Linked DNA regions of Drosophila melanogaster. The protein of the gene in region 1 interacts with the protein of each later gene in a pairwise test. Each region holds a gene or a part of one and is shown on either strand. Other genes may lie near its edges. The genes, in order: CG4622 and CG14569.

Region 1 (5,307 bases):
AATCAGGGGTGTATATAGCGTATATAGCATATGGAGCACACGGACACATAGATAGTCAAATAATGGGATGGCTTGTACGAGTATGTGCGACGCGCTTGCGACTCGAATTGAAATTGATGCAAAGCGCCGGCCGACAAATAAAATCAATTGGCAGCTAATCAAAGTGAAATGCAAACAAATTGCCAGCACATGTCGCCGGATCGGAGGAGCAGCTATATGAGCAGCACTTCAGATCGGAGATCGATCAAATATGACGCCGTTCATTGGCTCCTTCCTGCGACGATGACGCCATTCGATCGATCGGCCCAGTCGCCCCGGATCATCCATTCAACCGCTCCTCCAACTTTCCCTCGCCTTCTTCTGCGATACTGAAGCCCCTTTTCGCGGTCCATGTTACATTATCTTCAACGCGGTTCGCATATCAATTATGGCACTCACGCCGGCAAAGAGCGTTAAAAATAGCCGCCTGCAGCGACGATGATGCCATAAATCGTGCAACTCGAAGCCAATTATCACCAGATGCTCAGCCCACAGCCAGCAGCCAAATCCAAATCCGAATCCGAATCCGAATCCATCGGGGAAATCGAGCCGAGCTGAGTCGCCGTACGCAAGCTGTTGCACTTTGCACTGAAACGTCGTCGGGATCTCTGACTAAACGAGTGCTACATGTGCATTGAGTGCAAAGGGTTCCCCACCCGACCACAACTTGCACTCTTTGTGCCCACCACTCGCAGGTAGGGATAGTAGGGTTCATTTGTCTGGAGCTTATTCTACCTTCCAGCAAGTTGAAGTCATAATGTTACAATAGTTGGCGATAGTACAGCGAGCAATTGACTATGACGACAGATGGATGTATTACTCTTGATTTATATATACTTTCGACACTAAGTACTAAACAATGACGACCGATGGCCTGGGATGAGTTATTTATATTCACTACAAAAATATGTGATTGCTTAAAAACATTTGTTTTGTCACACGAGACCGCAGTAATTAAGTATGACGACACATGAGCGAGCCCTTGATATCATCAACCAAAAATATATCAAATAAAGACCCCTTGGTGGAGCATACTTTTAAGCGAGAAGCCTCACTTATCGCGAATAGTATTCATAGTATTCATATAAATATATGAATATTTCGGCGACCGACTGATGAACTTTCTCAGAATTCCGATTCCAATTGGCAGTCCCCCCAAATGCCCCATTCCCCTTCCCATACCCATTTCCATTTCGGTGTTTTCCCATCTCGCGGCCATAAATCTGCGAAAAAATGTGCTCAACTTAATTGAAGACATCAGCACGGCAATAAAAAATCAATTTGCGCAGATCCTCAGAGTCGTTCGCTAAAACAATACGAGTATATTCGTTAGCGATTATATGTGTTTAAATCATTATCGGCACAAATTCGCTTTCATGTTGCTGATACTCTCGAAATTGCTCTCGAAATAGCCGACGTCGTCGTGTCTGCCTGGTTTTCATTCAGCATTTCAATTTTTCACCCGGGGTCGAAGGAATTTCACACATGTTCACACAAACGGCCAATTGGCACAGCGCGCAGTGGAAAAATTTGCGAAAAGCGCGCTGTTAATCAAATTATTCAATAGTTCGGAATGCCACAAATGCGAGTGCATAGATATATATATATATATATTCATATATATATCGCTGTCATCGCTGTAATTCCCGGCGGGCGCGCAAATTGATAAAATATGCAAAGTAAACAAATGCCCATGTTTTGGGGGCCCGTCCGCGTCTGCGTCCGTTCGCAAATTGGCTCTCCTTTGAGCCGCCAAAGACGAGGGCGGGGCGGGGCGGACTTACATCATAAATTAAGCCCGCCGACAGATGGCAAATAATGCAATAAACATTGAAATCGCCGGTGCTATTTATAGAGCGCTCCTGCGATAAGATCGTCTGCGGCACCGACTGCAACTGTTGCCACTATTGCAATTGCACCTTTGGGTGGAGAATGGCATGGGCATGGACATGGGGATGGGGATGGGGGCCCTATTTTTAGCCAGTCGGTAGACGGCTGTCGGACGAGGTCTATTTATAGGGTCTCCGCCGTCCTCCTGCCCATCCGCGATGCGGATCGAGCAGCAGATCGATGCCACCTGGGCGAGAGCTGCCCTTGCCCCTGTCCTTTGGCGGCGGCGTGGAGCTGGGCCGACATCGTGCTGGGTTGGCCCACATCTGCTTGGCCAGAGAGGTGGTCCGGGCAGTTAATTAATCTGATCGCACCTATAAATAGGCATCTATTCTTAACCGTGTTTCCGGTTTCCCACACTTTTGCAGATGTGTTCCCGCAACATAAAGATCTCGGTGGTGCTGTTTCTTGTCCTGATACCAATCTTCGCCGCCTTGCCACACAACCACAATCTGTCGAAGCGCAGCAACTTCTTCGACCTGGAGTGCAAGGGCATCTTCAACAAGACCATGTTCTTCCGACTGGACCGCATCTGCGAGGACTGCTACCAGTTGTTCCGCGAGACGAGTATACACCGATTATGCAAGTAAGTTTCCCTAGGGTCCCACAGCCCCAGCCATACGTACACATACATACATACAAATATCTAACAAAACCACAAAGCAGCATCAGTGTTCCTTACAGCGTTCAAGGCAAGGCCGTCCAAGAAACACTAATTATGATCTTAAGTGCTGGCAGACCCTGACACAAATACAATTGTCGGGGTATCGGAAAATGATCGCGGGACCTTCGGTTGTTTCTGAACTTTATGGGCCCGCTTTCCCCGCTACTTTCTCCTCGACTTTCTCGCACAGAGACCGCTGCCTATTTGGTTTCTTCCATTTGGTCTATATCTCTCTCTCTCTCTTTTTGTTTCACCCTATAGTCACTTAAATATTGTAGTAATAAGTTTATCACCTTTTCGTTTGACTTCCCTCTGTGCGAGTCCTACATCTGTGTTTCTTGTCTATTCGATGCAGGGCCAATTGTTTCGTCCACGAGACCTTCGGGGATTGCCTAAAGGTGCTGCTGATCGACGATGAAGAGATATCGCAGCTGCAGCACTATCTGAAAGTGATCAACGGATCACCCTATCCGTTTCACAAGCCCATCTACCACTAGACTCCTAACTTCGACCACTTTCGTTTCCACTTCCGTTTCCGCTTTCGTTTCCGCAACGACTTCATTTTCCTGATTTCTTACTGCCTTCAGTTACCTTTACCGTTGTGTTTCATTTTGATTTTCGTTTTCAATTTTAGGAAAGACTGCTTTGATTCAAAATGGTTTGGCGAATGCCTGAAAGTGCTGTTAATACCCGAAGAGGAAATATCCAACCTACAGCACTTTCTGAGAGTAGTGAACGGCTCGCCCATATCCTTCAACATGGGGCCGCAAACATAACTCTAAGTCCCCGCCCCACACACCCACAGCCCCAACACACCATACACCATACAGCACACAACAAACAACACACACCACACACAGCTGAGAATCGGTGCGAATATCGTGGGTTGGAACGAGCATCCGCATCCAGATATAGATCCAGATCCAGATCGAGAAACAGTCCCACTACGACCACACATGCAGAGCCAGAACACAGAAATCTAAAATATTAAAACGCCCAAATTTAATTCGTACTTATTTATTACTGTATGCCTTACAGTTTTTACTATATGTGTTTTTTTAAAAACGAATTATTTTTATTAATTTATTGAGAACGTTATGCGTTTGTTGTAAGTAACATAATTGGGGAGTGGGAGATGGGCGATGATGATGATCAGATGATGATGATGATGATGTGCAGGAGGAGGATCGCAGATCTCGCACTCCCCACATATACATAGAAGCCGAAGTATTTATTTTTAAGTATTCTTAGCTTGTTTTATTATTATTGCGTTATGCGGTTTGTATATAAAATAAACAAAACGAAATCCATTGTTTTTAATCTATGTAATGTAAAATGATAACTTTTATTTTTGTATCTGTATTCTACTGTAAAATCAGCATTTAGAGTTTACATTTTACACGATTTTCCGCAAGGGCAAAACTACAATGATAAAGATAAACCCATACGAACACACACATACACACATACACACATACACACACACTCACACACACACATATATACACCGCAATCGAGACCGAAAGTATTTTGCAAATGTATTACACTTACAATTTTGTGCTATTTTGTAAAGATGAAACCCTGAATTAGTGTAAATCTGTTGGCGCAAAACGGAGATATGTATTTACCTATATAGTATATAGTATATGCATACCTATCTAAAGCTAAAGCCTTACATATATCCGAATACGAGTACCCTACACACATGCTAAATATTAGAGAGAAACGCAAGATCGCAATTTGTGCAAGACACAAACAAAAACCTGGTAAAAACACGCGAAGAACGGAACGACTGCATTACAAATGTGGCAATAAATAATACATAATTAATAAAACCCTGTAAATTAATAAAGGATAATCAATCATTCGCTGGCTATTTGAGAGCATCAAAATTGTGATAAATGAGAATTAGAATGCGAATGCGCGACGCAGGACACCGCCAGAGAAAGAGACCGCCATACAGAAGGCGACAGAGACAGACAGACTGCAGCTGGCGATTTGCGCGCGTTTCTGGCGCGACTAAAAACGCCTGCTTACCGTTTTTGTTTTGGTACGTTATAATTTTCTTTTGTTTTTAATTAATTATTTGATTTTTGACCTTGTGCATTCTTGGCTTTTAACTAGCACTCAAGCTAAAAATTTGACCAACTATGCTTTACTTTTTGTTAAATTCCTCAATAATCCTCGAACTGTTGAGCTCGTATTTTTTGAGCAAACAAACAGAACAAGATTTTGAGAACAATAATTTTTGTGATATATTCAACCATACCTGAATATGGCTTTTGAACTTTGGCTCTTTTTTCTTCTGAGCAAGCTATACACCAAATTAAAAAAAATCAGGTTTCCTAATTCCTCCTCCTCCTTTTGTTTTTGAACACAGGCAAGAATGCTTCGGATCGCCCTTCTTCAACGCCTGCATAGAGGCTCTTCAGCTGCACGAGGAGATGGACAAGTATAACGAATGGCGCGATACCCTGGGTCGCAAGTAAAGTGCGATTCTCTGGGATTTTCTGGCACCGTCACTGGCACGAGCAGCTACTTAATTCTATGAACTATTAACTAAAACTATTATTATTGATAACTGTGGCAGAACACGGCACGAAACTATGGCAACCAGGAAACGATCGACCCGAGGAATGTGTACCACTTGAAGAAACAACTAAGCTAACATCTAGCTACAAGAGAAAGCAGAGCAAAAATGTTGAAAAAAAAAT
Region 2 (3,162 bases), on another chromosome or scaffold:
ACACCTATGGACCGCCGGCTGATGGCCCAGTGGACCAGGCCCCTGCTGCCGATCCCGTGCCCGCCGGCTTGATCCAGCCTCGTAACGAACGCCTCCTCAGTCGTCGTCCGACCCCAGAGAAGCTTCGATCCGCTCAGATTATCCGCTCTGGATCAGTTCTGGTGTACACCATCTGAAATGGGTCAACCCTAATTTGCTAGAAATCAAATGGAATCGACTCATTAGGATATGCATTTATTACTTTGTCGCTAAATAAATTGTTGTTGAATATTTTAATTTAAATAATAAAATAATTGCGTTAATATTCAAGCCACCCTTTTGTCATAAATTGAAAATTGCAAAATATGTCTGTCTTGTTGTTAGTGAAGCAAAACATATTTAATTTGTTGTTGGAGCTAACAGATATATGAACGCATTTGCTTTTCTATTAAGATCTTATTTTCTTAATCAGGATCAAATCACAAAAGTGATTCGGGAGTCTCAACTACAAGTTACCCTGTGCTCTATTATCTATTAAAAATCTTGTCCAAGCAGTATCAAACAAGAAATCCTATATTCGGCTTCCCTGCTTATCAGATACCAACTACTCAGCTAGTGGAAATGCGAACGCGAACTTGCATACTTTTCCTGGAATATCGATAGATATTGGTGAATAAAATGCGTTGCATAAACTTTTTTGTCAATCAACAGAAATTTACAAGACTAATAAAAATATGCAAAATGTCAAAACAATTTGCAAACGTGTGGGCGTTGCAGTTTTGTGTGGTTCGTGGGCGTTAGAGTGGGCGTTTCTCTAGAAGCTGTGAGCTGTAAGCTGTAAGCTTAATCTCAACCCTCTAGCTTTTATAGTTCCCGAGATCGAGACGTTCATACGGACAGACGGGCATGGCCAGATCGACTCGGCTATTGATCCTGATCATATATGTATATACTTTATATGGTCGGAAAAGTTTCCTGTTACATAATTTTCAACACATCTTACTCTACGAGTAAGGAGTATGAATACTATATTTTTTAACCCGATTTTCACTTACCATGATAAAAACTCAAAGCTCAGAATATAATAATTTTTGGTAAGGCAAATGAGTGTTCCAAAAGCCAAGCTAATAGTAAATAACATTGTTTTTGAATTCGATCGACCCTGATTGAAACTGTCCAAATGTTGCAAATGGGTGGGACGTGCTTTTAAAAGTGCGTGCTTGATGGATTTTTTCACAGCCTATTCTGTTTTGCATGAATACAAAGTTCATCAAATAAAATTATGAACTGCCAAGAACCCAAAACCAAACAAACTCGAGTGTTCACAGCTCACTCCAAGTGTTAATGAATGATTTGCGAAGGAGGGAAAGGGTGGCCTATTCCAAATCATAGCATTGGAAAATCAATTTCGAAAAAGGGTCACGTATCGGGTATTAAGCTGAAGCTACATTGCCGCCGATCAGCGCAACATAATCAAAGTTTTACCGGGAATAAGAGCCTGAAACTGAAAGTGACGAGCATAAATTATAGCAGAATTCGATCTGGTAGCTTGGGGCTATAAATACGTCGTGTCGGATCGAGAAATCAGAACAGAAGCCCTTCAACCGCGAAAATGTTTAAACCGACTGGCGCACCAATTGCTATTCTTGTCCTGAGCCTGTTGGCGCTGAGCTCCGCGGAGCCGATCCGCCGGAGGTTCTTGGCGCGCCAAGTGGAGGCTATACCCAGTCCTTCGCCCACCGGATATCCGGAGGCGGGCATCACCCCGAGTGTTCCCTTCGATTTACCCAGTTCGACTGTCAAGCCGGAGAACACTTATCTGCCGCCTGATAACACCTATGGACCTCCGGACAACACATACGGGCCACCAGATAACACTTATGGACCTCCAGAGACCGACTCCGTGCCGGCTATTGCTCCCGAGGCTGAGCCGCTACCAGAGAATCCCATCGAGACTGATGATATTCCAGAGACTGAGGAAGCATCGGTTGACGGTGCCAAGCTGCAGCCCGCTGATGAGGACGCCGAGGAGGATGAACCGCAGCTGGATGTTGCTGAGGATGGCACTGTGATCGTTGTAGCTAGCAGTCTTGACCAGCCACAGTCCGTCCAGTCCGCCCGACTCTACCAGCGATTTCCGCAAGGACGGCGTTCCCAGAGGCCCGTTCCTCAGCGTCTAATCCTGCGTCGCAGTTGGTAGACTTTAAAACTTTAGCGTAAGCAAATACGTCACTGCGTCAGACTTAAGGAAATATCATACAGGCAAAGACTCTAGAATAATTATTCTAGTGTCTTTGATACAGGGCTGGAATCTATTCTAACGATATCATGCACTCACCGTACACAGAAAATATATTTACAAAATATTACTTACAAAATTCAATTTAAAATGAAATCCATACTGAAACTAATAGGAAAGCGTTATATTTATTATTTTTTTTATTCCTGTGTAAAAATAATATACAATTATTTTGTATAAGCACTCCCTTTTAAAGAAATCTAACCACACATTTTCATAACAGCCAGTACTTACACGCGCCTTAGTCACCACCTCCATGGGCACGTATCGTTGGACCTGGCTTATAAGTCATCGGCCTCGAGGTTTCTTCGGGCGTTTGAATTGGGCAGTTCCCAAGGGCATTCCTAGGGGGTATTTATAGGCGCCACTTAGCCGCCCATGCAGCAGTTCATGTCAGCACACCACAATGTCCGGTTATCCAAGTGCTTCTCTGGTCACCTTTGCGCTTTGTTCCATTCTTTGCCTGAATGGAATTGAAGGCAGTCATCTGAGGTTCCCAGGACCCGCGGCGGGAAGGTTTCTGCAAAGACAGGAACAAGCCCCATATCCACCAGCAGGCCTGGTCCCCGATCCGCCATTCGACCTGCCAACGGAGGAGGCGGTTGAATTTCCTCAACCGGAGGATACATATGGCCCTCCACCTGAAACATACGGACCACCGTCTTTGGTGGAAGCGCCAGCTGAGGTCTACGGCCCACCGGACCAAATTTATGGACCTCCCGATCAGACCTACGGACCTCCAGACCAGCCAGCCAATGATGACAGCTCCAACACATTGCCACAAAGCGCAGCTATAATTAATTTGGCAAGTCTGCCGCTACCACCCCAGGCTCAGTATGTTCTGCCGCTTCTGAACCGACTTTCTGCCTTCCGCCCGCAGCGTC

Evidence for each region.
Region 2: the proteins of CG4622 (region 1) and CG14569 interact in a two-hybrid assay, tested with the Drosophila melanogaster proteins (one large-scale study listed by BioGRID).

What each region holds. Positions count from the first base shown.
Region 1 is NT_033778.4:24,553,057-24,558,363, forward strand, and holds the start of CG4622 (uncharacterized protein), read right to left. Parts: upstream 3,228-5,307; 5' UTR 3,091-3,227; coding exon of another isoform or gene 2,949-3,090; 5' UTR 2,887-2,948; intron 2,516-2,886; coding exon of another isoform or gene 2,298-2,515; intron 1-2,297. Other genes in the region: ITP (Ion transport peptide), read left to right, coding at 2,298-2,515, 2,949-3,090. UniProt on the Drosophila melanogaster protein: Scaffolding subunit of the trimeric nuclear exosome targeting (NEXT) complex, a complex that directs a subset of non-coding short-lived RNAs for exosomal degradation. The RNA exosome is fundamental for the degradation of RNA in eukaryotic nuclei.
Region 2 is NT_037436.4:21,729,951-21,733,112, reverse strand, and holds CG14569 (uncharacterized protein), read left to right. Parts: upstream 1-1,562; 5' UTR 1,563-1,591; coding exon 1,592-2,179; 3' UTR 2,180-2,388; downstream 2,389-3,162. Other genes in the region: CG14568 (uncharacterized protein), read left to right, coding at 1-176; CG14570 (uncharacterized protein), read left to right, coding at 2,685-3,162.